Rattus norvegicus: one gene and its partners. The main gene of each other region encodes a partner of the protein of the gene in region 4 in a complex. Links are inferred from orthologs where the notes say so. Each region holds a gene or a part of one and is shown on either strand. Other genes may lie near its edges. The genes, in order: Timm10, Agk, Timm22 and Timm10b.

What was found.
Region 1: the proteins of Timm10b (region 4) and Timm10 are in contact, whole or in part, in a cryo-EM structure (PDB 7CGP), measured with the Homo sapiens proteins. The link is inferred for Rattus norvegicus from reciprocal best matches to the Homo sapiens genes TIMM10B and TIMM10. Residues at the interface, in NP_036324.1 of Homo sapiens: Gln7, Leu11, Leu14, Arg15, Phe17, Leu18, Leu19, Tyr21, Asn22, Arg23, Met24, Thr25, Glu26, Cys28, Phe29, Val33, Pro34, Ser35, Leu36, His37, His38, Arg39, Leu41, Glu46, Leu49, His50, Ala53, Gly54, Ile57, His61; in NP_036588.1 of Homo sapiens: Ala6, Leu9, Leu13, Glu16, Met17, Asp20, Met21, Arg24, Ala28, Lys32, Cys50, Asp52, Arg53, Cys54, Ser56, Lys57, Tyr58, Asp60, Ile61, His62, Glu63, Arg64, Met65, Gly66, Lys68, Leu69, Leu72, Asp76.
Region 2: Timm10b (region 4) and Agk share a complex: the UniProt entries of both Homo sapiens proteins name them as parts of the TIM22 complex. The link is inferred for Rattus norvegicus from reciprocal best matches to the Homo sapiens genes TIMM10B and AGK.
Region 3: Timm10b (region 4) and Timm22 share a complex: the UniProt entries of both Homo sapiens proteins name them as parts of the TIM22 complex. The link is inferred for Rattus norvegicus from reciprocal best matches to the Homo sapiens genes TIMM10B and TIMM22.

What each region holds. Positions count from the first base shown.
Region 1 is NC_086021.1:90,311,723-90,319,413, forward strand, and holds Timm10 (mitochondrial import inner membrane translocase subunit Tim10), read left to right. Parts: upstream 1-3,416; 5' UTR 3,417-3,981; coding exon 3,982-4,052; intron 4,053-6,468; coding exon 6,469-6,670; 3' UTR 6,671-6,891; downstream 6,892-7,691.
Region 2 is NC_086022.1:70,124,765-70,131,863, forward strand, and holds part of Agk (acylglycerol kinase, mitochondrial), read left to right. Parts: intron 1-1,915; coding exon 1,916-2,008; intron 2,009-3,660; coding exon 3,661-3,693; intron 3,694-5,515; coding exon 5,516-5,610; intron 5,611-7,099. UniProt on the Homo sapiens protein: Lipid kinase that can phosphorylate both monoacylglycerol and diacylglycerol to form lysophosphatidic acid (LPA) and phosphatidic acid (PA), respectively. Does not phosphorylate sphingosine. Phosphorylates ceramide.
Region 3 is NC_086028.1:61,749,070-61,756,801, forward strand, and holds the start of Timm22 (mitochondrial import inner membrane translocase subunit Tim22), read left to right. Parts: upstream 1-2,616; 5' UTR 2,617-2,628; coding exon 2,629-2,860; intron 2,861-5,165; coding exon 5,166-5,362; intron 5,363-6,460; coding exon 6,461-6,533; intron 6,534-7,732. UniProt on the Homo sapiens protein: Essential core component of the TIM22 complex, a complex that mediates the import and insertion of multi-pass transmembrane proteins into the mitochondrial inner membrane. In the TIM22 complex, it constitutes the voltage-activated and signal-gated channel.
Region 4 is NC_086019.1:169,389,555-169,396,094, forward strand, and holds Timm10b (mitochondrial import inner membrane translocase subunit Tim10 B), read left to right. Parts: upstream 1-2,800; 5' UTR 2,801-2,821; coding exon 2,822-2,851; intron 2,852-2,993; coding exon 2,994-3,089; intron 3,090-3,258; coding exon 3,259-3,435; 3' UTR 3,436-4,102; downstream 4,103-6,540. Other genes in the region: Arfip2 (arfaptin-2), read right to left, coding at 114-335, 507-625, 1,302-1,398, 1,613-1,711. UniProt on the Homo sapiens protein: Component of the TIM22 complex, a complex that mediates the import and insertion of multi-pass transmembrane proteins into the mitochondrial inner membrane.

The DNA of each region.
Region 1 (7,691 bases), on a different chromosome or scaffold from region 4:
ACTGACCCCAGAGTCAGTGATTCTCTCTAAGGATGGGAAAGATGGGGTGTGGGGTAGAGTGAGGGACCAGAGATTAGCAATTTGGGATGATGCCTGGATTCCAGTGATAGCCTCAGAAAGGGAAATTACTAAGGTACTTTTTTTTTTTACAAGAAACCATGGACAATTGGTAAGCCTTATTTGTAGAACCAAAAGTACTAACTATAGAATGTGAAAATCGCTTTTATTTCCTTTGATGAGAGCTGTACCCAAGCTGTGCAAATACAGGCTTAGACTGAGCCCTGACCATTTCTTACTCTGTTCTAACTATCCCTAGGCCTAGGCCTGGAAGCTTCTAGTCTCCATAAATCCAATCTTCCAAGCTGACTGATTCACTCTGGCTTCTCTTGACTTCCAACTGAATTGCTCTGCCTGGCCTCTCACTAACATGGGCAATATGTTCAATTGTTTTGGTTTCTTCTCATGTTCTGGCTCATGTGTCTTCACCTGTGTCTAGATTGTTCTCTCTGAGGCCTGTCTCTGTAAAAGTGTCCCAGTAAAACTGCCATTCATACACACCACACCACCTTTTCTCTCTCCTACTTTAAAAAAAAAGATTTATTTATTTTGTGTTTGTGAGTACACTGTAGCTGTCTTCAGACACACAAAAAGAGGGCATCAGATTCCATTGCAGATGGTTGTGAGGCACCATGTGGTTACTGGGAATTGAACTCAGAACCTCTGGAAGAGCAACCAATGCTCTTAACCTCTGAGCCATCTCTCAAGCCCCCTTTTTCCTACTCTTAAGTAGCCTCTTTCTCTCTGTGCTATTCTCAGGAGAGTTGGCTATATCCTATCTCTGACTCATTTAGCCAGATCTTTCTCTGAGCCATCACTTTGTCCCTCAATTAGACATCACTTTCAAACATGTCTGCTTTCTTCGGCAAACTAACTTTACTTTCATTGTTTGGGATTAAAGGTATGTTTGGGACTAAGGGAATGTTAAAGGTATGTCACTCCAGTCAGATCACAGAGACTTGGAAGGTCTTTGATAGGATCTCCTGCCAAAGCAACCATGTTGCTGGGTTAAAATTCTTCTACAGTAAAAGAAAGACAGGGCCACATAGCAATAATAACGGTAGCACCATTGTCAGCAAAAGCAATGATTTTCCAGGGTCTGAAGGGAGGGGAAGTAGGAAGTTGTTCAGTGTGTGTAGTTTTAGTTATGCAAGATAAAGGTCTTCTAGAGGTCTTCTGTGCAATACAGTGCATATAGAGAATAACACTATCGAGTACAAGTAGAGTGTCTTTTGTTAAATGTTCTAAGTACAGTAAAAAGATCCTTCTGAGAAGTTGGGGAAAATACTTGCAATAGGGCTGGGAAAATGGCTCAGGTGGCGAAAGAGCTTTCTTTGTGGTAGTAAGGTCCTGATTTGAGATCCCTAGAACAAATCTAACGTCAGACATGGTGGGATGGGTCCACAATTCCAAGACCCTATGGTGAGATGGGAGGCAGAGACAGGAGCATCTCTGAAAGCTTTCAGGCCAGCTAGGCTGGTATAGGCAGCAGCAAACACTAGATCTTGTTTAAACATGGTTAAAGTTAAGGATGGAAACCTGAGGTTGTCCTCTGACCTCCAAGCACACAATTCATTCTCTCACACACAAACATAAAAAGATAAATAAATTTTAAGTTGTCAATAGATTACATTAGGAAATAAGTGGGCTGGTGAGATGGCTTGCTGATATAGGTGATTACCCCCAAGCCTGACAGCTTGGGTTTGATTACTCTGAACTCCCATGATGGAAGGAGAGAATCAGCTTCTACCAGTTGTCCTTTGACCTCCACAAGCCCTTCGATTCCACCATGGGTGCATGTTCTTATAAATAAATTTAAATTTAAAAATAGTATGTCAAATGAACTGTATAGTTCAGTTATTGAGTGTTTGCTTACAATTCCTTCAGCACCGTGGAAGAGAGATGAAAAAAATCACTATTAGCTGAGAATGTGAAAATAGCACTTTGGAAAAAAGACTTCATCTGCTAAAGACAAGAATAGATCAAGAAAATGCGACTAAATATCAAGAATTATTAAATTGGGGCTGGAGAGATGGCTCAGTGGTTGAGAGTATTGACTGCTCTTCCAGAGGTCCTGAGTTCAAATCCCAGCAACCACATGGTGGCTCACAACCATCTGTAATGGGATCTGATGCCCTCTTCTGATGTATCTGAAGACAGCAACAGTGTACTTATAATAAATAAATAAATCTTTAAAAAAATATTAAATCTTGGTGTTCCTCATCATTTCTCCTTGCTTTCACTGATGACTCTCTGGCCCAGATCATCTCACACTGTACCAAATCACCAATGAAGTTCATTAGACTGTGTTCTCTGTGTGTTGCAGATTTGCCCTAATAAAAATAGTTTTAAAGGATAAAGCCGCAAGGCCCTGGGTTCGGTCCCCAGCGCCGAAAAAAAGAACCAAAAAAGGAGATAAAGCCAAGGGGTTGGGGATTTAGCTCAGTTAGGTAGAGTGCTTGCCTAGAAAAAAAAAAAAAAAAGAAAGAAAGAAAGAAAGAAAAAGAGAAGGATAAAGCCAATAATTCTTATTGTTACATTTATTTTTTTATTTATTGTGCATGTGTATGGCTATGATAAAGAAGTGCAGTAAAACATGCTGCAGCGCTGGGGCAGTTGGTAGAGCGCTTGCCTGTAGCATGTGGTCCTACTTCCATCCCAGCACTGCAAAGTTCAGGCATAACGGCGCTCATCTGTAACCGCAGCCCTAGTGAGGTTGAGGCAGGAAATAAGTTCTAGGTCATCTTCGGCTACACCGCAAATTAGAGAGCCTGGGTTCCATGAGACCCTATCTCAAAAGCAAGCACAGAAGACCTCTATACATGTTTCCTTTTTCTGCGAGCAGCGATTTTGTATCCTTCTTTCTGCAACCCCACCAGTTAACGCAGTTTGTTCATTTACTAAAGTCTGGGTCCTACTCCCTGGGACTCTGATTTCACGAGTATGAGGTAACGTCTGGGCGTTGAGGTTTTTAAAAAAGTGCTCCAGGTGGTTTTAACATGCAAAACTGACAGGCTCCTTTGGGAAACGTTCTCCCTTCTTCACAAAAGATCCGTCTGCGCTCAGGCGTGGGCTCTCCATGGTAGGCTCAGGGAGCCAAGCCTTTTCCACACTCCAAACACTCAGAAGTCTCCCGGACAACCAGAGGGATGGAACGCTAACAAGGCTGTCGGCGCTCTGCCATTGACTCCGCACTCTATGATACTTTGGAGTCCACTCTAGCAAATTGAAGTAGGTTTCTCTTCAGCCAGTGGCTCCTCTCTATGGTAGCCGGTTTCCCAGAGCCGCCTGGTTTGCGTTTTCTTCCGGATCAAAGAAGAGGTTAGACTTCCTTCCGGAAGTGACCCACGTGCTTCTTATTTCGCCTATCTTGGTACCCGGTTAACTTTTTACTATTGACCCGAAGTTGGGGGCGTTGCGGGAGCTGTGACCTACCCCAGGCCGTGGTGAGTGAGCCATGGTATCTGATCCCCAGGCTGACCCTGATTATGCCATTGCCATGACAGAGGCGCAGCCTTTAGACCGGCCCTGGGAACCTATGTTGTGGTTAGGGTCACATTCTCGGGGCTGCGTGGGTTCAGGCCCAGGGTTTTGTGTGCTCTGCCCCTAATGTCGGTCCTCTGGCTAGGAGTGATTTCGAGATACTGAGAGCTCTCGGTTTCCAGCTCCGAGCCCCATGACATCTTGAGTGACCTTGAACTGGACACTGTCCCCTTTAAGGGCCTCATTTCCACTTCTGGTAAGAGGGCTGACTACGTTTTCTTAGGGTACTGGTCCCTGCTGGTCTGAAACGCTGTAACCCCTCGCGCCCTCCAGCCCCTGGGTGGGTATTAGAGTGAATGTGGAGGGGTCGGTGCTGACTTATCATGTACGCTCCCAGGACTAAAGACCAGGAGGCTATTTTCTCCACGGTGCTAAGTTGACATGGATCCGCTCAGAGCCCAGCAACTGGCAGCGGAGCTGGAGGTGGAGATGATGGCCGACATGTACAACAGGTAAAGAGAACCACTCCGATTCACCTTGTCCAGAAAACTAGCCCTCGTCACCCCTACCGCGATAGAGTGAAGGACTTGTAAGGAATGCTTTCCCTAAGGTAGTAGAGCCAAGTCCCAACCTCCTAATCCCGTCCCACCATTACTGCGGGCTTGGCTGAAGTAAAGACAGGTCACTGGAAGGACTTGGTTGGCTATTTAGAGGGAGTAAAAGGGGTGTGAAGGAAAGTCTCCTGCTCAGGCTCTGCTGAGTATCAAGTACAAGTAAGCACTGCCTTTTCTTTCTTTTCTTTTCTTTTCTTTTTTTTGGAGCTGGGGACCGAACCCAGGGCCTTGTGCTTGCTAGGCAAGCGCTCTACCACTGAGCTAAATCTCCAACCCCTCTTTTATTTTCTAATAGCCCATTTTATTACCTTTGCTTCTGTATTTTGTGTTTATTTATGAATGCCAACATGCATGCTATAGCAGCTCACATGTGGAGGTCAAAGGACAACTTACTAGGATTCCATCTTGGATTGAACTCAGATCTTCTGGTTTGGCAGCAAGGGCCTTTGCCTCCTGAGCCATCTGAACAGTCATTTAGTAGTTAATAGTATTTAGTAGCTAGTACTTATTAATTTTTTTCTTCCTTTTTGGGGGAGAGGTGGGGTGAGCGTTTTTGTTCTTGTTTTTCAAGATAGGGCGTCTCCGTGTTGCCCTGGTTGTTGGCTTGATCTGTATAGAGCAGGTTGGTCTCACTCCCAGAGATCTGTCTCTGTCTCTTGGGTGCTGGGATTAAAAGTGTGTGCACTTGATCCTTATTAAACTTTATCTCTGTGTTAGGCACTTGCAAAGCATTTTATATACATTGTCACTTTAAAATTTTTTTTTTTTTTGGTTCTTTTTTTCGGAGCTGGGGACCGAACCCAAGGCCTTGTGCTTCCTAGGCAAGCGCTCTACCACTGAGCTAAATCCCCAACCCCCACTTTAAATTTTTTTAATTTATTTGTTTTATATGTATGTATGTTTTGCTTGCATGTGTATATACATGTGCATCACATGCCCTCAGAGGCCAGTAGAGGGCATCATATCTCCTGGAACTGGAGTCAAAGATAGTTGTGAGCTGCCATGTGGGTGCTGGGAACCAAACCCAGGTCCTCTGCAAAACAGTAAGTTCTCTTAACTACTTTCCAGACCCCCATTGTCATTTTTGTAAATACTTAAAAATAATTCAAAGGGAGAATGGGGTGGAACATAGGATGTTTGTCTAGAATGTAGGAAGCCCTTGGTTTGATCTCGGCATGGTGGGTGCCTATACTCAGAGATGGAGGCCAAAGCCAAATAGTTGAATGAATGAATGAATGAAAGAAAGAAAGAAAGAAAGAAAGAGAGAAAGAAAGAAAGAGAGAGAGAGAGAGAGAAAGAGAGAAAGAGAGGAAGGAAGGAAGGAAGGAAGGAAGGAAGGAAGGAAGGAAAGAAGAGCAGTGGGTTAATTTTATTAGTACCATTTTAACATAGGGGAATTGAGGTATTAAGGGGTTTACTAATCTCAGGTTTTGTAGCTGGTCAGCAACAATGTCAGGCCAGAACTTGAGGCTGACTTCACAACTACTGCTTGTAGCTGTTAGGCCAATTTGGAAGCATCCTGGTATGCCAGTCACTGCTGAATGTCTCATAATTGCTTATCTCATCAGTAAAACTGGCATAAGAGGTGCTATGCCATACAGACATTACAGTATTATACTTTATCATCTAGCATATCATACAGGAAACAGCAGGTATCTGCTGGTTTTTGTCAGCAGCTCTTTTCATTGATTGGTTTGTTTTTGAGACTATAAATTAGAATGGTTTTTAAAATGCAGACTGTGCAGTCAGACTACCTAGCTTTGTGTGATATTTAGCAAATTACTGAGCTGTGTCTTAATTTCCTCATCTGTAAAGTGGGGATAATGATTGTGCCTACCCCACTGGGCTACTGTGAGGGTTGCCTAACAGAGTCTGTATTAGCCCTTAGCATGATGGCTGGCACACAGCCAGTATTCAGCAAGTGCTTCTGCTTTAACTAGTCTTGTACATGACTCAGAGAAGATTCTTATTGGAAGAACCTTCCAAACTGGTTGAAGAAAAGTTTCTTTTCTTTTTTTAGGTTTATTTATTTAATATATACACTGTAGCTTTCTTCAGACACACGAGACACAGGAGAAGAAGGCATCAGCTCTCATTACAGATGGCTGTGAGCCACCATGTGGTTGCTGGGATTTGAACTCAGGACCTCTGGAAGAGCAGTCAGTGCTCTAACCGCTGAGCCGTCTCTCCAGCCCTCTACTGTTTTCTTGAGGGAGGAACCAGACAAGAATCAGTCCAGCAGGGTTGGAATTGTTGAAGGTTCCCGGGATGCTGTAGGAAGTTACTGATACAACCTTGTTCTTCTCTAACCCAGAATGACCAGTGCCTGCCACCGGAAGTGCGTGCCTCCCCACTACAAGGAGGCAGAGCTGTCCAAAGGCGAGTCTGTGTGTCTGGACCGATGCGTATCCAAGTACTTGGACATCCATGAGAGGATGGGAAAAAAGTTGACAGAGTTGTCTATGCAGGATGAAGAGCTGATGAAGCGGGTACAGCAGAGCTCTGGGCCTGCATGAGGCCCCGGGCCATGTACACCCGTGGTGCACCTTGCCACCTCTGATTAAAGTGTCCCTAATGGATGTCACATGTGAAAACTGTCATACTTAGGCCCTTGAGCATCTCCAGGACCCCTGCGTGTGGTAGAGCTCTCCTGGCTAAGGAAGGGGACTTGTCATGCTGGTTTGTGACTGTGAATGTGTGTATATGTATATATCATATTAAAACAAATTTGTGCAAAGCAGTGTCTTTGTTTGAGAGTAAAGAGTCAGAGCATCCAACAGTAGAGGGATTTAATGCAGTGGGTCTTTACTTTAGTGGGGTTGGGTTGCTTTGTTTTGTTGTGTTTTGTTTTTAAAAACAGGATGTCACTCTGTAGACCAGACTACCCTCAGACTCACAGAGATCCATTCACAGAGATCCATCTGCTTCTGCCTCTCAAACGCTGGGATTACACGTGCGTACCTTACTACAGTGCTTTAAGACTATAGACTAGTGGGACCACAGGGTTTGGGCTTAAGAGTCTGATGCTTACTGTGTGGCCCTGACTGTGCTACATCTCTGTGATGTACTAGAGTGACTTGGGTATAGGAGGTATTAAGTGTCCTTTAAAGCTTGATAGTAAGTGGAGGCAAACAGGCCATTTCTACACATATCAAAGAAAAGCTATTTAGAGGACGTGACAGTGGATAGGGTTTTGCTAGCAAGTAGCCATTCTGCTCTAGATGTTACCTAGATAGCTATATTACTGTCAAGATGGGAGGCGGTTCAGCCATCTTGGAAAGTGAGCTAGGTAGGGGCCTGAGTGATGACTTCACCACATGTGTTTACCTGATTCAGGCTGTTTTTCAGTCACTTTCCAGTGTATGAGAGAGTCCACCCACCCAGACTAAAGGTCTAATTAGGAAACAGGTTCAGAGTGGCAGCTGCTTACAGGTCACACAGTATAGTAGTGGGAAGGTCCGCCCCACTGCTGTCTGAAGAAGGCCCTTAGACTGCAGCTTTCAGAATATGTGGGTTATTCTAGAAGGCACTTTGTTA
Region 2 (7,099 bases), on a different chromosome or scaffold from region 4:
CTGCCCACGGGCTCTCTGTGCCGGCAGCAACCAGGAATACCTGCGCCGCCCCTTCCGGGAGCTTCAGTGCACCAGGGTTCCAGATGGCCTTTGGTGTTTTCCTCTGGCGTCCGAGATGTGTATGCAGAGTGCAGTCTCTTCTGGTTTCCCAGGCGTGTCTGCCTCTCTGAGGGTTTAGCTCTCCCTCCCACGGGATTTGGGGGCAGAGAACTGTTTATCCGGTCTGTTTCCTTCAGGTTCCGGTGGTGTCTCAGGCAGGTGTCCTGCCGCTCCTGGGCCCTCCCCCACGGGAGCCCAGAGGCCTTATACAGTTTCCTCTTGGACCAGGGATGTGGGCAGGGGTGGGCAGTGTTAGTGGTCTCTTCCGCTCTGCAGCCTTATGAGTGCCCACCTGACCAGGCGGTGAGGTCTCTTTCCCACAGGGTCTGGGAGCAGAGAGCTGCTGCCGTGACAATTCTTTAATACCAAAGCCCTATGGTCTTTGGTTTTGTATTTTGTAATTTTCCCAATTTAAGAAACTCAGAATTGTGTACATATATTCAGATAATAGGTATTATATTAAAGGAAGATTTAATTATTAGTAGAAATATTAATGTTTCTCCTTACATTCAATTGAGACTATTGGTCTCTGAAAGGTTGATTTCCTGTCTTTTCTGTTAAATTTTATTTGGAAGTAATTTTAAATTTTCAAAAAAGTTAATATATGTATAAATATATTTATTTACTTCCCCCTTGTTAACATTTTTACTCTTTTTACACATAATTTCTCTTTGCCTAAGTGTGTATAATATATACAGGAATTCCTGTATATATTATAGATGAAATCGTTGAGCCCTGATGTATGAACTCACCCTTAGGCTCCTCTCCTTTCCCTGGAGGTTAGGGTATGGAACTCAAGATTCTATTCTGTAAGGGATCTGTTGGCCTCTCTGGCCACCAGTTCTTATCCAGGGTCCTTCCAGAGTTACCAGTACATACTCTGTGAGGGTTTTCCTGTGAGTAACAAAATAACTTCTGTGGATTTTTAGAGTTCTATGCTGGGAACAGGGCACAAAGAGCTGGTATTTCAAATTGTACTAAAGGTGTTTTAGCCCATCTGATATATAAGTATTTAGTTTTTGCCTAATAATGTGTCTACTGTATTTCAAAGTGGAGGTAGTGTTCTGTTGCACTGGCTTTATGCCCTTTAAGGTTTGCATTTGTCTTCAGCCAATGGTGGCTGAAATGTAGTTCAAACGTTCAATAAAATAGGAAGCTTGGAGTGCTCTTCAAACACACCTGCATTTTTTTTTCTGTGCCATCATAGCAAAACAATAATAATCATCAGTTGCAAACACTTTTCTAGCTGTTTTAAATTCTGCTGTGTAACAATAGTACAGGAAAGATAATTGTCCCTCTCTTGATACATGAAAATTCATTGATAAGGAAATTAAAATCAAGTGAGTTTAAGCTACTCCGTTAAAAAGTAGCAGAGCTGAGGTTTACTGTAGGTCTCTGGGGCTCTGAAATCTGTTCTCCTTCTCATTATATCTACTTCCCTATTTGCATATGCACTTGACTTCCTGCCTTCAGATGAAAAACAGAGTGTAAACAGTGTAATGGAAGCCACACTGGACTGGAAACGAATCCTCTGACTGGCTAACTATACAACTGAGGCAAATTATTGGGCTTGATTTTATTTTTAGAATAAGCAGCCTTTTTAGAATGATATTTTCTGAAGGCATTTCTGTCTTAGGAAGTATAAAATTATATAAAAAATTCCATACCTAATTGCTTTCATAGCATTTTCATGTCTTTCAACCATGCAAAACTAAGGGAGCAATATAAGACTTTAAAGAACATTTTTCATCCTGTAACATGTGTCACATGTGATCTTACAATGACAAATTTACCAAAGCCGTCTTTGATATTCCAGACAGATTATGAGGGACAAGCCAAGAAGCTCTTGGAGTTGATGGAAACGACCGATGTGATCATTGTTGCTGGAGGAGATGGCACCCTGCAGGAGGTAGGGTCCTTCTTCCCCATGGAGGGCCATCATTAGGGGGAAATTAGGTTCTTGGACAATGGCAACAATAATTAAGGAAATTGCCATAATTCATTATTTTAGGGCTATTGCTCTCAAACTTATATAGCCCTAAGCTTTCTCCTGTACTTTCCTTCCATGTTTTTGGTAAATCTTCCTTCCAGCTCAAGGAAGGGTTTATATGTAAGCAAGTCTGTCTGAGAAATTAAATAAAACAAGCAAGACTCTATAATCAATTACTTAAGATGAAGTGGGAAGATCTTGAGTTCCAGTTAGTCTTGGGTTACATAGCAAGATTAGATCTCAGATACTGAATAAAACAGGAGGCAAATGTGTATGGATGGGCCAAGCTTGTTACACTGTGCATGCTGTTACACAGCAGGTCTGCGATGACACCACAGCTTCACCACAAGGACAAGTCCTCATCAAATGAAGTTTTCTCTCAAGAAAACACGTTTATGGGCACTCACATCATTTCTGTTGTATAGAAAGTGAACTCTTAAGATTGCATTTGTAAAAAGAGACGATGCTTGTTCAGATGTATGTTTGCCTTCTTCTCTGCTGCTCTTTCTAAGGTCAGTTGTTTGGCAATTAGTGCTACAGAACAAGCCTCTGTATGCTGGGCAAGAACTCTACCACTGGCTACGCCCCTAGCCCTGTCTTTGTCCTAATAGTAATACCACTTATCGCAGTACTGCATTACTGTTGGCTTTGACCTCTCGTTGGTAGCTTCATCAGTGTGAGGGACCAGAAATGAACAGCAGAAAAGCTGTCCTAAGTTTGACTTGGCATTTATATGAGCCGTAGTAAGTTTCTTTTTTTACAAAGGCTCTGCTAATGGTCTCATAATTGTCTTTATAGCTTGTTAATGAAATGTGAAGAGTTCTGATTGTCTACCGACAAAGAATGAAGTAGATCATTGACAGCCCTTTTAATACTCAAACCCAATGAGGCAGGACAAGGTAAAGGGAGGAGATATGTCAACCTTTATTTTTACAAAATGTTTTAAAGGAAAGACAGTGAATTGTATATTTGGGGTATATGCAGTCATTAAAAGACATTTTGCTAGAGAAATGATTGTTTTTTTTTATGACAGTTCATACCTACAATCCTAAGGAAGCTGAAGCAGGAGGAATACTGTGAGTTCCAGGCCAACCTAGTCTACCTAATGATAGTGAATAGAATAAAACAGTTAATGCTAGTTGTCTAGCCCCTTTGTTTCCGTAGCCCTCAGGAAGAAGCACTTGAGTACTTCTGAGCATGCTAAGCCATCCTGTCCTCTCTGTACTGCAGAAGGCTAACAGAGGCTTTTCTGTATAACTGAAAAGAGTTCATATTTCTCTAGAACCTACAACACATAAACATTAGTATACTTATGTTTTGTAGACCTTGAAATATAATTTTACTAATGTATGTGGAATTTTTATAATTTATCTTAGTCTGTATTTTTCCAGGTTAAGAATAAAATCTAATTTAGCACTGATCATTTTGACAATATGATGTGTTTTTAAGATCTAATACATTATTTAATATAGTTTCTAGAAGAAAATAAATAAGTTTATGGTCCATGAAATTTTATCCTAATTTTGTTTTGATAAGGAAAATACATGTTTTTATATTTTTTACATTCATAGGTTGTTACTGGAGTACTTAGAAGAACAGATGAGGTGAGCTTGTAAAAATATGTTAAGCTTCTACTTGCTCTCATTCTTTTGTCTTTCCCCCATGTGATGCATACATTCATATTATATTTATAGTTATGTATGTATACATATATACATTCATACATACATGCATGCATGCATGCATGCATACATACAAACATATTCTGTACTAAGGGTTGAACCCATGGCTTTGGATGTCTAAGTGAGCGTGCACCACTGACTTACACCTCCAGCCCTTTGTCCATTTAACTTTTATTTTGAGACAGGGTCCTGATAAGTTGCCCAGACTAGTCTTTAATTAGTGATTCTCCTGCCTCAGTCTCTAAAATCTGTGGGATTCCAGGCATAGACCATCATACTCAAATCCTGTGTTATATTTTCAACCCAGTGGAATTGTGAGAGGATTGGGTTTTGATCAGATGGTGCAATACTTCTTCCTCTGTCATAAGTTACTCTCAGGAACCCATGATAGACTTCCTGTGTTGGTAATTCAGGTACCCTGTACCTTCTAACACAGCTAGTGTGCTATATAAAAATTTTCTATAGAATCTTTTGTTCATGGAATTCTTTTATAAATTAATAGTGATATGTTCATATAATAGGAGCCAGGTAGCAATTAAGTGGATGGACTAGGCTTATTTAGTTAAGAGCAAACATGAGAACCTGAGTTTGATCCCAGGGTCCATGGAAAATCAACTGAGTATAGTTAGTGGTGCTACTAGTAATTCTGGTGCTGGCTGGCCAGTTTCAAGACATATGGGAGACCTTATCTAAAAACAATTATGGACGGTGTGTATAGACAGGAAGCTGCCCTCTGGCCTCTTTGTGTACCCTCAACACACACACACACACACACACACACACACACACACACACACACACACACTCATTCTTTCCCCCCACATACAAATGTGTAATGTATATCATACACAAGAATGAAGTAGATCTATAAATATCTACATCTTTAGATCTTAGAAATGTTAAATACAAATAAGTTTAGAATTTAGAAAACAGTATTGTTACTATATGTTATTTGATAAGTAAGTCTGTAGTAATAAAAAATAATGCAAAAGAGTCGTGCCAACCTAGCATAATGGTTTCCTCTAGGAGGGTTCAGGAGAACAGAACTTTATCTGTCTCTACCTAATTATTTTAATTTTGAGATCCAGTTTATTTCTGAAGACATCAGAAGCAACATGGCAAATGTTCTTAAATCTGGGTTGTGGACTTATGTAAGATCTCATTCATTTTCCTGCCACAGTTTAAAATATTTTGGTAAAACAATAAGAGATTATCTTCAAAATAGTCTTTTAAGAATCTTCAAGTAATGGCTATATATGTGACATTTAGTTAAATCACTTGCTGTGTCATTAACTGGCCATCATTTGACTTCCTCTATTTGAAGTAGAAAGCTTGTCAAACACTGTCACCTGCCATTGGTCACTGTAGGATTAGTAGGTATTTTTAGTTGAATTTTGTTTCTGTATTTCCCAGCAGGTGGGATAGCTTAGTACAGTCTCTCACACTGTTTCATTGATCCAGTTGTTGTAAGATTATCATTATTTTAACCCAGTTTCATACAAATAATTGTAGTTACTGAGTACTCAAATATATCTTCTAAGTTCTGAGTCACTGTGTTGTCATTGACTGCTTTGTCTCAGAAACTGCTCATGTTGGGGTATTTGCTTACTGCCTAGAGATGGGAACTGGAGATGAGATGGGAGACATAGTCAGTTACTTTGTTCTAGAGGATTCTCATGTGCCTCCCTTTAAACCTAATCTTCAGACTGTAATAACACAACTTTGTCTTCTTTTATTCTACCAGGCTACCTTCAGTAAGATTCCAATTGGATTTATCCCGCTGGGACAGACCAGTAGTTTGAGTCACACCCTCTTTGCTGAAAGTGGAAACAAAGTCCAGTAGGTTGTCAATGTGGCATGCTAACATCTGTGTGTGATAGAGCCTGGGCCTGAAAATTAACATACACGATAACATCGACTTTTCAAATATTGATAGGTTGAAATGTCAAGGTATTGATGGGAGCACCTAGCCTTTCAGAGATTGGCACGCTCCCAGTTGAGGTGTGGTACCCTCCTAATCTAGTAATTACTACGTCCTGATGTCAGGGATGGAGATGGGCTCTTTCTGTCATTGCAGTTTTTCTGCCTTTGCACGGTAAGACCCTTTCATGAGGGTGAGGGCAGATTTACTCTGATCATTTCCTTTAAGTACCCATGGTGACAAATAGCACGTCTCTCGGGATACTAAATTGCAGGTAGCAGTGGCCTCAATATCTCGGTGATAGAAGCAGGTAAAACAACTAAATATAGGCACATCCTTGTGACTGCCTGATGTGGCTGGGAGTATGGATATAGTAGATGGGAAAGGGGGGAAGTCCTGACATCTAAGTTACATTGCTGTGAGTCTAACACTGTCCTCAGGACTCAGGAAGATTGAAAGCTTTATAGAACAAAGACCAAATCTTTGGAAAAGGTAGTGATCTTGAATTTAAGGCCTGGTTTTCCTAGCAATTAATTAACATAATCTTGAGCAAATGGTTGTCAAAAGACCTGAAGTAAATGGAACAGTGTTGGAGAAATTGTTACACAGCGTGTAATGTAAGGCTTGTGATACAAGAAGCCGGAAGGTAAACATTTATTGAATGAGTGAATTAAAAATTTCTCAGAAGTTTTTCTTGTTATAACCTTCTAAGTCAATAGTAATAACATTCAGGGTACTTTTTAATTTGGGTTAATTTTTTTCCCCTGCATTGGAGTGCTTTCTTAGACTAGGTCTTGTAGACTGACTTTCCCTGTTGTAATTTTGAGGGCCAGCAATTGTATCTCTAACAACTTAATGCTGTTCAAAAAAGTATGGGTGCACACAGGAAAGCCCAGGCATGCATATATATATATATATATGTGTGTGTGCGTGTGTTCATCAGACCCTCATCCTAATGTCTCTCATGTATCACAGGATTCTCCAGCCATCCTGAGGCCTAGCAAGCAGGAGAAGCCACTGTAATGGGCCATACTTTTTAGTCACAGGTTAGAATTTTTGAGGGGCAATGGATGATGGATGACTGACTCAAGCATTTTTGCTGATCTGATATAAATTCTCTCCAGTTTAGGGCTTGACTATCTTAGGGAATTTGTCTTTCCCCTTGTATCAGTAGAGATTATTGAACTACTTTACCAGCATTTCCAAATGTCATGTCAGTGATCAGTAGATTATTTTCTTGTGGAAACCTCTCTTCACATGTGGCCACCCCCAGGATCTGAGACAGTGTTCTGCTTTTTAGGAGCTGTTTTTTTCTGTTTTAAAAACAGAAATTCTGTTATTGCTGCTTCCATTTATAATTTAAAGATTTATAAAAACCTAATCTCTAAGCATGCCCCAAGGCCCTTG
Region 3 (7,732 bases), on a different chromosome or scaffold from region 4:
TGGTGTAAATTCCTCAGACTTCAAGTCTAAATATCAAAGAGGAACTTCCCTTTCTCTGCCTCTTTGTCGCATTCAGGCTTCCGAAGGAATGAATGAGATCCACTCACAGGGGGAGGCTACTAGCTTTAATCTGTCCACCAATCTAACTCAAATGTTAATCTGACCCAAGAGACCCTTCACAGCAATACCCAGAATCAAGCTGAACCAATGAGCTGAGATCTCCATGAACTACTCAAATGATTCATAAAATTAACCGTTGCGAGTCTGTCCTTTGTCACTGTGGCACCTGCATGTCTTCCTTACATCAGACTAAATCTTTGAATAAAGAGGGTAACAAACTCTTGAGTCTACTCGATGTGAACAACGCCCTCTTCTGACCTCCTCAGGCACCAGGCACACACATGGCCCACAGACATACATGTGGGCAAAACACATATAAAATAAAATAAATAGGGCTGGAGAGATGGCTCAGCGGTTAAGAGCACTGACTGCTCTTCCAGAGATCCTGAGTTCAATTCCCAGCAACCACATGGTGGCTCACGACCATCTGTAATGGGATCTGATACCCTCTTCTGGTGTGTCTGAACAGCTACAGTGTACTTATGTATAATAAATAAATAAATCTTTTTTAAAAATTGGAATCACGCTGGCTTGTTTTTTAAAAAGTCTTAAAATATTTTAATTTGGACCATCAGCATTCTGTTATGGAACGGAAGAGAATCTAAACAAGAAAAAAAAACACTTCATGTATTTGTTTGTTTTGAGATAAGGTTTGCTATGTCATCCTAGTTAGTCTGTAACTTGATAAGTAGACCAGGCTAACCTCTAACTAAGAGAGATCGATTAGCCAGCTTCTGCCTCCCAAGTGCTTGGATTAAGGGGTGTGTACCACATCCAGCGCTCTTTTCTGGCCTTCACAGACACCCACGCTTGCACACCCATGTGTGTGCACACACATACATAAAAAAAACAGGGGTTGGGGATTTGGCTCAGTGGTAGAGCGCTTGACTAGGAAGCGCAAGGTCCTGGGTTCGGTCCCCAGCCCCGGAAAAAAAAAAAAAAAAAAAACAAAACAAAACAAAAAACAACTCTCCGGCAATGTTGGCATATAGGAAATGTGATCCAGGAATATTGGACCACTCACCAGAAACAGGCTAGAATCTGAGGATCTGTCACTGAGCAGCCCAGAAAATCTTTTCTTCTCAATGAGGAAATCACAGATCCACTACTAAGGCCAGGATCAAAAAGAAGATGTAATAGGAGCAACATTTTCTAACACTTGGCCATTGACTGAGGTACAAGAATGGCATCTAGAAATAGGATGGTTGGTGATCAACGCCTTTGATCCCAGCACTCAGAGGCAAAGCAAGGCAGACCTCTGAGTTTGAGGCCAGCCCGGTCTACAGAGTGAGTTCCCCAAGAAGCCAGGGCTACACAGGGAACCCCTGCTTCAAACAAACAAACAAACAAACAAACAAACAAGGATGGCATCTAGAAAGAAATGAGTTTCAAAAAGTTCAAACTTAGCTCTCTAACACTAAAAACCACAAAGCATTAACGATTCCAAGTTGCCTGGTGTAGTGGCACACGCCTTCGATCCCAACACTCTGGAGGCAGGCAGATCTCTCCAAGTGCACCACCACACCCGGCAACTACCAGCCATGGGGTTTGACATCTTCCATTGTTACCATAGTCGTATGCCATTAGTACCCTATGCAATACTCTGTACTTGGTCTCTCTCTCTCTCTCTCTCTCTCTCCTCTCCTCTCCTCTCCTCTTCTCTTCTCTTCTCTTCTCTCTCTCTCTCTCTCTCTCTCTCTCTCTCTCTCTCTCTCTCTCTCTCTCTCTCTCTCTCTCTCTCTCTCTCTCTCCTTAATGGTTTCTCTGTGGAGCCCCAGCTGCCCTGGAACTCACTCTGTAGACTAGTAGGCTGGCTTCAAACTCAAGAGATCTGCCTGTCTGGGCTTTAAGGCGTGCTAGACCACCACTCACATTTGTTGGCCTTCTTTATTCTTCCTTAAAGGCTTAATAAATATGTAATAAAATGCTTTTTGAACACATTTATGTCATGTTTCAACACTTTCATACAAAGGGCGTACATTCGATCTCAGAATGTAAACCAGTCTGTGGTTCTAGTGACTGTAGTAGCTGGAGCTCTGCTTTATGGCCTGGCAACAAAGCGGACACGTGCGTCCCCTGCTGCAAGTTCGACGAACTGCAGCCTAACAGGATCCGACTTCTCTTCGGCCGCTTCTCAGACGAGCTTTCAAAGGAAGTAGCAAAGCCAGCGAGTGCGCACGGCTTTCTGGGAAATACAGTTGGACATTCGAATTAGAACTACAAATCCCGGCACGCACCGCAATGGAGCCCCTAGTTGAGGGGTGTTCTTGAGCTACTAAACCTTGTCAGAGTTTTTAGCAATGCCTTACAAACTTGGTTCACTGTTTAAAGAGGCGTTGAGGAAACGTGATAGCTTCCTCGACGCTGATGCAAAGGCTGACTCTTGCTTCTACAGCTTCCTCAGTGTGGCGAATCTGCCGTTGTCGTTAGGCTGGCCGGACTCCTCGGTTAGCATGTGGAATCGGCTGTGGGAAATACGACGTGAAAGGTACTAGAGCCCGTACAGTCATGGCGGCCGCCAAGGCTGGGGCTTCAGCTCCTGAGGCGGCGGGTTCCGCCGAAGCTCCGTTGCAGTACAGCCTTCTTCTTCAGCACCTGGTGGGCGACAAGCGTCAGCCACGGCTTCTGGAGCCTGGCAGTCTGGGCGGGATCCCGAGTCCTGCCAAGAGCGAGGAGCAGAAGATGATCGAGAGGGCGATGGAAAGTTGCGCCTTCAAGGCTGTGCTGGCCTGTGTGGGAGGTGAGGCGAGGCTTGTGGGACCCTTGGGAGGCTGAGGGCTTGGAGAACTTTAAGGTTCCTTGCTAAGACCACGCGCCTGGGAGGCGAGGAACCTGTGCATCTCGACCTTGATCGCTCCCGGGCTGGCTGACTCCTTGAACCCGGAGATGCCGCTCTTGACCCTGAGATTAACATTCACAGTCAGGGTCTGCAGGTTCCTAAATTGTTGCTTTCTTTTCTTCGTTTTATTCGTTCGTTCGTTCGTTCGTTCGTTCGTTCGTTCATTCATTAAGTTGTTACTATGTAACGGTCAGGTGCCCGGCAGAAGGAATATGGATGAAAGCGACAGGAGCCCTGAAGGAGAATATTAGGACGCAAAGAGAAGAATGCTGTAGAGTTGCAAATGCAAAGGTCCTCAAGGCAGGAGTTTGGAGTTTGGAAATTATTACTGGGTGATGGTGGCCCAAGCCTTTAACCCCAGCACTGGGAGTGGTGGTGGTGGGCAGAGACAGACAGACAGGGAGGACTACATAGAGACACCCTGTCTCAGAATTAAAAAAAAACAAAAACAAAAACAAAAACAAAAAACAGCGAAGGCCAGTGTGATTAGTCGGGGTGAGGCTGGGATGGATGTTAACAACACACACACACACACACACACACACACACACACACACACACATACACATATTAATCTTCCAGGGTTTGAGAATGTACAGCATACTTATAGTGTACAGGTAAAAAGGTTGTTTATTTGTAGATGAGTTTAAATTTCGTTAAGAATGAAGAACATTTTAAAAATACAGGAGTTCAAATCTTAAATAGTGGGGAGGAAGAGGCAGTCAGATCTCAAGAGTTCCAGGTCAGCCTAGTCTATAGAGTGAATTCCAGGAAAGTCAGGGCTACATAATAGAGAAACTGATTCTTTTTTTTTTTTTTAAGACTTATTTATTTGATGTATATGGATACACTGTAGTTGTCTTCAGACACACCAGAAGAGGGCATCAGATCTCATTATAGATGGTAGTGAGCCACCATGTGGTTGCTGGGAATTGAACTCAGGACCTCTGGAAGAACAGTCAGTGCTCTTAACCACTGAGCCATCTCTCCAGCCCTGAGAAACTAATTCAAAAACCAAAACAACCAGGCTGGAGAGATGACTCAGTGGTTAAGAGTATGGACTGCTCTTCCAAAGGTCTGAGTTCAACTCCCAGCAACCACAGGGTGTCTCACAACCATCTGTAATGGGATCTGATGCCCTCTTCTGGTGTGTCTGCTACAGTGTACTCATATACATAAAATAAATAAATAAATAAATATTTAAAAAATCAAAACAAACAAATAAGTAGAAAGAAGAGATAGAGTTTTGGAGCTGAAGTGATTAGAAAGCAAGACCAGGAGAGGAGGGGTCTAGCTTCATTGAGCTTACATTGATCTTGAGGTGATCATCTTGAAAAGACATCATACAGAAATGGCTGGGGAGAAAGCCCAGTTGGTAAAGTGCTTATCATGCAAACATGAAGGTCTGAGTTCAGAACCCAGCATCTATGTAAAAAAGCCAGGTATGGCTGGGTGAGGCTATGGGGCCTTTAAGCCCAGCACTGGAGAGGAAGAGGCAGGATAGCCAGGGCTGTTACACAGAGAGACCCTGTCTTAGAAAACAAACAAACAAACAACAACAACAAAAAGAAATTGGTGGGTAATTCCTGAGGAATGGCACCCACTCTGGCCTACACTCACAGACAAAAGAAGGCTCAGACAAGGCATTTGTTGACAGAAACATAGGATTCCATGTTTAATATTCATGTGACTCTGAAGACAGTTACTTAACCTCTCCAGGGTTTGGTTTAGAGAGGCAGGGTGGATGGTGGTTTCAGAACCTTTAATCCAAGCTCTTGGGAAGCAAAGGCAAATGAACCTCTGGAGTTGGAGCTTGCCTGTTCTACAGTGTCAGGTTCGAGGCCAGCGGGATTATGTAGTGAGGCCCTCAAACAGAAAAGCCAGGAAGGGGAGATAGTAACATCTACCTCACAAGTTACTATGAAAAATAAGGAATATTCCAGAGTAGCGGGGACATGATGCTTCCTTACTGAGTGACTGTATGAGTGTTGTTACAGGTCATATACAACGTTGGTAGCTGAAGAACAGGGTTAAAGCTGAAAGGCATAAATCCTAGAGGAGTTGTGGGGGTAGACTCCGACTGTACTGTGAGGAAAGCCGGATCAGGACCGAGTGCCAAGAGACCAGAAAGGCCATCTTCAGTTACCATCCCCAAATGGTAAACTAGAGAATGTGCAAAAGAACTCTTATCTCTGCTTACCTCTAGGATTTGTCTTGGGAGGCGCATTTGGTGTCTTTACTGCTGGCATTGATACCAACGTGGGCTTTGACCCCAAGGACCCTTACCGGACACCAACTGCAAGAGAAGTCCTGAAGGACATGGGACAGAGAGGAATGTCCTATGCCAAAAATTTTGCCATTGTGGGTGCCATGTTTTCCTGTACTGAGTGTCTGGTAGAGTCTGTAAGTGCCTCTTGCTTCTTAAGAAAGCTCTTCCTGTTGCCCTTGTACACTTTTTAATTATCTTTTTTTTTTTTAAATCATTTAAAAACGCTTGGGTGTGTGTGTGTGTGTGTGTGTGTGTGTGTGTGTGTGTGTGTGTGTGTGAATGTGAATGTGAATGTGAATGTTTTACCTGCTATGTATGTGCATCATGCGTGTACCTGGGGCCTGAGGATGCCAGAGGAGCGTATCTGGTCTCTTAGGACTGGAGTTACAGACAGTTGCTAGCTGCCATGTAAGTCTAGAGAATTGAACCAGGGTCTTTCTGGGAGAAAAGCCAGTGCTCTTAACTACCAAGCCATCTCTCCAGCCACACACCCTCCTTTTTTGAAACAGGGTCTTACAGTGTAACCCTGAATGGCTGGAACTCACTAGATCCTCCTGTCTATCTCCTGAGTGCAGGGATGGGATTAAAGGCACGTGCCAGCACACCCAGCCCATTGCACAGCTTTTAAAAAGAGCGGTGTTCGAGGTGTTCCTTCAGAATGCTATCAGAAATGTGGTCCATATTTGCAGCTTTAGCACTCAGGAACTGAAGCGGAGGATCATGAGATCTGGACCAGGCTGGGCTGGAAAGACCTTGCCTCAACACAAACATTTAAAAATGTCAATTTTAATCTAGATTGTTCATCCAAAAAATAGTCCCTAATGTGAACTTTTTACATATTATGTGGATTTTGCACATTTTTAAAAATCTTCTGTAGGCAAGTGGGTTTTTGTTTTGTTTATCTTATTTATTTGGTACTGGGGATTGAACTTAGGGCTTTATGTATACTAGGCAAGGGCTTGACCTGGACTACATCCCCAATTCAGGTCATTGTAATTAATAAAATTATCCTGGAGAATATACGGAAATTTTGCTTCCCAAATGCTAGACTTGACTTTAGCTCTCTGGTGCCACCTGCAGGAACCATGTATAAGCACATACAATTTAGGAACAGCCCTTTTGAAATAAAGGTTTGAGCAGGACTAAACTGGGCAGCTGGGAGCGCTGTGTTTTCTTCCTCGGCCTTGTCTGGCTCAGTCCCCTGGCTCTAAACAGCGTTTCTCCCCCCACAGTACCGGGGGAAGTCAGACTGGAAGAACAGCGTCATCAGCGGCTGCATCACTGGTGGAGCCATCGGCTTCAGAGGTCGGTAAACAGCTCTCGAGTGCTTTTCTTTTGTGGTCTGGGACAAAGTGGTGATGTTGACATTTCCCAACATGAATGTTCTAAGGATGCTTGATATTCCTTCCCTCTGACAAATCCCTGCTGCTTCTGTGTAAACTCGGTTCTTGCTAGTATCTCAGATCATCCATGCTGGGCTTTCTCATCCTTGACACATAAGCACATAAAGTTGTTTTTTTAATTTATTTATTTTAAAGAATTATTTATTTATGTATGAGTACACTGTAGCTGTTTTCAGACACACCAGAAGAGGGCATCAGATCCCATTACAGATGGCTGTGAACCACCATGTGGTTGCTGGGAATTGAACTCAAGACCTCTGGAAGAGCAGTTAGTGCTCTTAACCACTGAGCCATCTCTGTCCAGCCTTCTATTTTTATTTTTTAAAGAAAACTTTATTTTGTATGGGCATTTTGCCTGTATATATGTCTGTGCCCCACATCTGTGTCTGGCATCAGGTCCCCTGGACTGGAACTACAGACAGTTGTAAGCCATGTGACTGGTGGGAACCAAGCCTGCACCCTCTGAGAAAGGAACAAGTGCTCTTTTAACTGCTGAGCTCTCTCTAGCCCTCCAGGTAAATCTTTCTGGTGTGTAGAATAGCGTCATGTGCATTTGGCTGAATGCTCATAGAATCTTCAGATCGGAAAGCTAAAGTGTCTCCTGCTGTGTCAGAAGCCCCCTGGGATGGGGAAGTTACCCATAGTTAACCACAGAGCCTGATCTTTCCTAGAGAAAGAGCTTGCATATTGAGTGTGTGAGATGACGTGCTCGTGGTGAATGCTGTCGGTGTGTACATAGCATGGAAGCCTAGCGAGGTCACTCAGCCTGAGAGTCTATTTGTCCACACTTTCAGATGTGCTGAGATTCATTTCATGGCATTGCAAGTGTCTGAACATCTTTTTTTTTCTTAATTTTATACACTTGTTGGGGGGTTTGTTTGTTTTACAGTTCTGGGGACCAGACCCAGACCTTGAAAACACTAAGCATGAGTTCTCATACTAAGCTACAGCCCCAGCTCGGGTTTAATTTTGTACATGAATTTTAATAGCTGGGTCTTTCTGTAGTTGGGGACTCTTAGATTTCTATTAATTGAAACCTGAGTGCACACTGAATTGGTGGTACATACATATTAGCCCAGTGCTCAGGAGGAGTTAAGAGAC
Region 4 (6,540 bases):
AGAGGGGTTCTCCCTGGGGGCTGCAGGAGGGAGGGAGGGAGGGAGGCTGAGGGATGCCTGCCTGGAAGGACCAGGGCCCAGTACCCCCACCCTCTCTGTTTTGGCTGAGGCACCTGAAGCTCTGGGGACTTCTGGCTGAGGTCAGCAAAGGCATCACCTAGTGCATGCTGGGTCTGCAACAGGCTGTAGAGGTGGGCTGTCAGTGCCCGGCCCAGCTGCAGGACACTTTCATACTTGCGCTTCGTCTCACGCAGCAACTCAATCTGCAGCTCTAGCTCCAGATCCACAGTCCGGGAGCCTCGGCCAAATCTCTCTGATAACAGCTGCTTTGTGCACTGATTGGAATGGGGGTGGGGGGATGGAGGTCAGAAATCTAAACTCCACCCCACAAGGAACTACTCCAGCACCCCCATTCTCTTAGTCATAGCAAAGACTGTAGATTAAGACCCAGGGAAAGGGAAAAGGGCCCCATGGAGAGTTTCTGAGAAGAGGTGCTTGAATCTTACCTTATATGTGTTGATGCCCCATTTCTTGACAATGTCAAACTTTTCTCCAGCGATGCCTCGGGCCACCTCATCACCAGGGCCAGAAGGTGAGGTGCTGTGAGACGGATGGCGGCCAGACCCTAAAGGACCAAGTTCTCTGACACTAGTTTCTCTTAGATATAACCAGACACTTCTGTGGCCCACTTCCCTTCCAGCACATGAAATGACCTTGCTGAAGAAGGAAAATCTAGACAGACAACTGCATTCTTCTGCTTACTAGGGGGAACAAGGACTTGTGTCCTGACCACCAAACCAACTCAATGCATGTATCTGGCATTCTTGGGATAGGGTAAGAGTGTTGTTAGTGTACTCAAGAAGAAAGAATAGAAGCTATCGTGATATGTGTGATTGGCAGGATCAAAGATGGTGGGCACAGAAAACAAGGAAGTTGGCTGATATTTCTAGGTAGAATTCTAGTCAGTGTAACAGTCTAAAATGAAAGTCTGAGAAGCCTCACAAAGCTCCAACTTGGCCTTAAGCTCCTGAGTGCTCATAACCTCAAGGTCTTAACTTGGCTCAGGTGGTGGCGGCAGGGAGGAAAAGACAAATGAGATTATCTTAGAGACTAAGTGGCAGGGGGGAAGCAGATGGGCAACTCTGGAGCTGGTCTGGGACTGAACAGGCTATGAACTTCACACTAGCAGTTCTGAAGCTCTTCAGTCACGAGTCAAGCTTTACTGTATGTGTCCTATGTGCCGGCAAGCTGCCTTAACAGCCCCCATCCCCACCCCTCAAGCCTGTCTCTATCACTCATACCTGTGGGGATGAGTCCGTCACCAGAGCCCCCATAGCCACCAGACACAATGCTAGTTTCATTGAGGTTGGGTCCTGACACCATCACCTGCTGGAGGTCCTATAGGTCAGAGAAGAGGGGGCACCTCAGGAACACAGGGATAGATGAAACATTTGGGGATGGAGGCAGTGCACATAAAGTTTATACAGAACCATAAAGATTTGAAAACTAGGAAGGAGTTTAGTTAACTGAAGGCTATTGGGATGGGGGAAAGTAAAAGGTTTATAAGTCAGGACTGCATAATGAGACAATTAGAAGAATCAAACAGAAGCACCTGCTCCAGCCCATCGTCTTCAGGAAGCTGCCCAGCCTCGCCATTTCCGTGGATGGGAATCTCCATTGTGGCTGCCTTCCCTAGAATCCCGTCCGTCATGGCTAGGGAAGGGACAGGAGTCAAGGTCTCCACCCCAGCACGCTGTAAAGCCCAACAAGACAATTCTGGAAACTAGCCAGCACTCCAGAATAAGGAGGCCTCCCCTGTGTTCTCAGAGGTTTCAGGGATTGTCTTAGGGCTTGGGTGTCCTGGGATCAGCCACCACGTCTTTCCTTGAGTATGTGTATCCATTCTCTTCTGAGTACATTATTTCTACAAATGCATGCATACCAAAGCCTCTGGTGTCTTCTCGTAACCCCCAACCTCGCCTTTAGTAACCATTCATGCATTCAGTCATTCAACAAACATTTGGTGAGTTTCTACTATGTGTGAGATACCGAGGCAATGGAATTGCAGCAGTGAGGACCAGAGGGAAGGTCTATGCTCTCTGGGAACTTAACCCTGCATAAGCATGTTTACCAAAACTCTTTCCTAGGCTCAGACGTTCACTTGCCACTCAGGCATGCTCTGCGATCCTGATCTTTCACATCCTTTGGTGTTCCTTCCCCTCTTCCTTCAGATGGTCTGGTCTCTTCCTTTCTCCATCTCATGCACCTGACTCCCTCAGGCCCTCCCCACCAGGCCTTAGTTGAAGCAGTTAGTGAATGTTCCTGGTGTCAGGACACCAGGACACAGGCAATCCCTTCCAAAGTCAGTTGAAGCCTTCCAGATGTGAGAGGCACCCCCCACCCCCATACACCTGGGCATCAGGTGTGTCCTCATCCTTGCCAAGGGCTCAGGGCATGTTGCCCTCAGTACAGGTTCGTGCGTTCAACTTCCCTTCGTCCAAGTACGTCCTTCTCACCTGGGCCGGGCCGCTCTTCCCCTCAGGGCGCGAGGCCCGGACCGCGCGGGGACCTCGGGTTCCAGTTCCCGTCGCGATCCTAGCAGCAGGTCAGAGATTTGGCGGAAGTGACATGCTCTCTGGGCAGAAGAAGCCGGCCACGTCGCAGAGAAAAAGGGCGGAGGTGACGTTTACAGTTGTGGGCAGGGCGAGCCTGGAGCTACGCCTTCAAGCTCTTGGGGGAGTACCGAGAGTTTACTTCCGGGGCGACTCCGAGAGCCACCCCCTCCGGACGGAAGTGGCGTACGCCATGCGCCCTGGGCGTGATGGAGCACCAGCAGCAGCAACTGAGAAACGTGAGTGAGAGCTAAGTTGCTCTCTGGGTTAGACGCGCAGTTTGTTTCCAGGGGTACACGCAAGAACCCCCAGAGGGGGAGGCGGGCTGCGCGCCCCAGGAAGCCTCGGCGGTGGTGAAGTCTTGGTTCCTTTTTCTCTCAGTTGCGAGACTTTCTGTTGGTCTACAATCGGATGACAGAACTGTGCTTCCAGCGCTGTGTGCCCAGCCTGCACCACCGAGCTCTGGACGCTGAGGAGGTGGAGACTGTGGGGGGTCCCAGAGTTGACAATAACGTGATGTGACTTACCCCCTCCCCCCACTTCCCCTCTCTTTCATGACCTCATTCCTAGGCTGGGGACCGGGAAGGATGGAGGAGGGCTTGACAGGACCCCTTTTAGTTTCTACTTCCATCTGTCTTCCTTCCAGGAGGCCTGCCTGCACAGCTGTGCTGGGAAGCTCATCCATTCTAACCACCGCCTCATGGCCGCTTACGTGCACCTCATGCCCGCCCTGGTCCAGCGCCGCATGGCGGACTACGAGGCTGCCTCTGCCGTGCCAGGTGTTCCTGCAGAACAGCCCAGAGACTCGCCATCAGGCAGCTAGCTAGCTGTCCCTGACCGCAGGAGAGAAGGTGCTTGGATAGGCTCCTCTATGGACCTTGGGCTTGTCTAAATATGTACAGAGAGACTGAGCTTGAAAGCTGGGTGCTCTTGCTCCTTTTCTTGGAGCCAATAAACCCGTTTTTGTATTCTGGTTAATTTACTTGGCAAGAACTTTTCTTTATTGGTACCATCCTTTATTCTGTCATCTACTGCCTGTCTAGTGCCTTTAGCCTTGGCAGTTGATGTATTACCTTCTTGTATGTAGAAGGACAAATTTAGCATTCCCAGCACCCCAGCAAAAGCAAGGATTATGGCTACAGTTTGAAGGTTGGTAATAACAATGGGAAATTGGTTCCAAAAGGAGAGTTCTCTGTGCCTGTCCTAGGGTCTAACTCAAGTACCTGAATATACATTGGCTCTTAACTAGTTTTTATTCTCAGCTGTCAGACAAAAGAATTGCTGTAGATCTAGGGGAAGAAGGTAATATCAAACAACAAAAGCAGGAAGAAAACAGTGCCCCCTTAGGTTTTAGTCACTGCTTCCTAGGAGATCAGTGACAACAGAACAAAGACAAGCCTCTAAGAATTTAGGAATGTTGACCATTTCCCCAATTTACTCTCTTAGTATTTCCTGCTTTTGTGAAATTAGAAATAAAGACTTTAAACAAAGAAGGACTTTCTTGTCTTCAGTCAGTCAGGAAGACAACATTAGTCAAACCTCAAGAGAAACCTGAGGGAAAGGGAGATGGTATTAGGGAGAGATGGTTAAATACCATCTGTGACCCTCCACCCGGTGCTTCCTCAGTGTTTCACTGCCTGTCTAGTCCCCTAGTTTCAGTTCTCTACCTTCCAGTACTCTAACTACCCTGTTGCCAGCTTCTCTATTCTTGTTTCATTATTCCCCCACCCCCTTTTGTGGGATTCACGTCTATACTCCGGAGGAGTCCTTTCCTGGCAGCTGCCATTTCCATGACTTCACTCCTAATGTGGAGATGGGGAAAGGAAGGAGGATATGGCATGCACCACCACATGGGGCTTCTGGGGCTTCGAGGATAATACAGCCTGCAGGGCAACAGCATGGGGTCTGCACCTATTACTGTTTCCCAGAAGATTAGACTCAGGCACTTGTGCTTGCCTGGTGTGAACTCTAAACAACTAAGCTACCCACTTCCCCTTCACTGCTTCCTGAAATCCCATCCCATCCCCTCCACCATTGCAACAGGTGGCCAGCTTTCATTTTTTTTTTTTTTTTTACAAAGGAATCAAATTCACAGTGAAAACCAACCATTCACAGAGCAGATTCTCTGCCCTCCCCCCACCTACAGGTCAGAAATTTGCGTTTATTTATTTATTTATTTTATTTATTTACTTTGAGTTATGGTCTCATGTACCCAAGACTGACCTGGAAATGGTAACTAAAAATGACCTTGAACTCCTGATCCTCCTGTCTCTACCTCCCAATTGTTGGCCAGCCAAAAAATTGAAAATCCCAGCTGACTCCATATTGAAAGGCTAATCATGTTCCAAGGCTTGTTATATGTGCCTGCAGTCATAGCACTAACAGGCCAAGCATTGTGAGTTTGAAAGCGTTCTGCGCTGTTATATCAAGACTCTTATCAATAAAGTGAGCTGGGACATCAAGCCTGATAGTCTTTGCACTACAGCAGACTACTCTAAATGATGTCTGTTGAGTTGTTTTGTATAAATTTATCATACTCTTTTTAATTGCAAAACTAGGAGGTATTTTTCATTAGACAGGTAAAGAAGCACGAAAACAGGAGGGCCCTGTCTTAAACAGTTCTTGAAAAGCAGATTCTGGCGTGTCACAACTTTTTTCTTTTCTTTCTTTTCTTTTCTTTTTTTTTTTTTTTTCTTTTTTTTTTCTTTTCCTTTTAGGTGGTTTTGCTGTGGGCACATTGGTCTTCAATACGATCCTCCTGTCTCAGCCTCCCAGGTACTGGAATTACAGACATGGGCTACAACTGGTTGCTAGATAATTCTTTAGGAATATAAAAATTGCTGACCAGAAGCTTCCCTACAGAGTGACCTGTGTACATGATTAATTTCACTCCTTGACAAGTACAAACGTGAGTAGAGCAGCTTGTGAACTTAATTCCCCAAACCAGGAAGGTGGAGACCCAGGATATTGTGTGACTGCTGAGAGAGCTCTACATCAGCATCTGTATGTATCCCTTCAATAAACATGTGCTGTGAGTTGTCTGTGTTTCCTCTCTTCCCATGTCACACATAATTAGTAATTGCTGGAAAAAGACTAGGAAACATATGTGCCTAAAGCCCGCTCTGAACTATCTGAACTGTTTTGTTTTGTTTGTCTCATTTTGTTTTGAGGTGGTCTCACTATGCAGTCTCACACCTTGGATTCAAATTCGCTGGCTTTTACTTCCAAGTGCTGAGGTTACACCTATGCCACGCCCACTCAGTCTAGAGAGTTCTTACATCCAGCATTATCTGCACTTTGCCTTCAATGCAAAAGCAAATGTGCCTTGATCTGGCTTGTTGGTCCTTTTTCTTCTTTCAGTCTCCAGTTTCTTCCCTTTCTGTGGTTGCTAATCATTTTCAGGTCTTGTCATAAAGTGATAACCATTGGCATAGTAAGAGCAGGGCAGTGTTCTCAAGCACAGCATATAGAAATTTTTTGTTTTGTTTTTGAGACAGTTTCTCTGTAACTTTGGCTGTCCTGAAACTCAACTCTAGATCAGGCTGGCCTTGAGCTCACAGAGATCCCCCTGCCTCAACCTCCTGAGTAATCACCACCTGGCAGGCATACTTTTGTTGGTTGTTTGGTTGGGTTTTGTGGTGGTGATGGTGATGGTGTTTGTGGTTTTGTTGGTTTTGTTGGTTTTGTTTTTGAGGGAGAGGGTTTCAGGAAGTCGAATTCAGGTTTTTGGACATGCTAATAAGCAAGGGCTCTACCTTTGACCTACATACCTACACCAGTTGTAAATTTCGACATAGTCTTGCCACAAACATTGGAGGGCAGAGGTGGTAGTCCTGACATTCTGAGTTCAGAACTTTACTGAACTCAGTACTGAACTGAAAGTAAAAGCTCTCTATAGGTAATCTCTACTATGCTACTGCTGACTAAC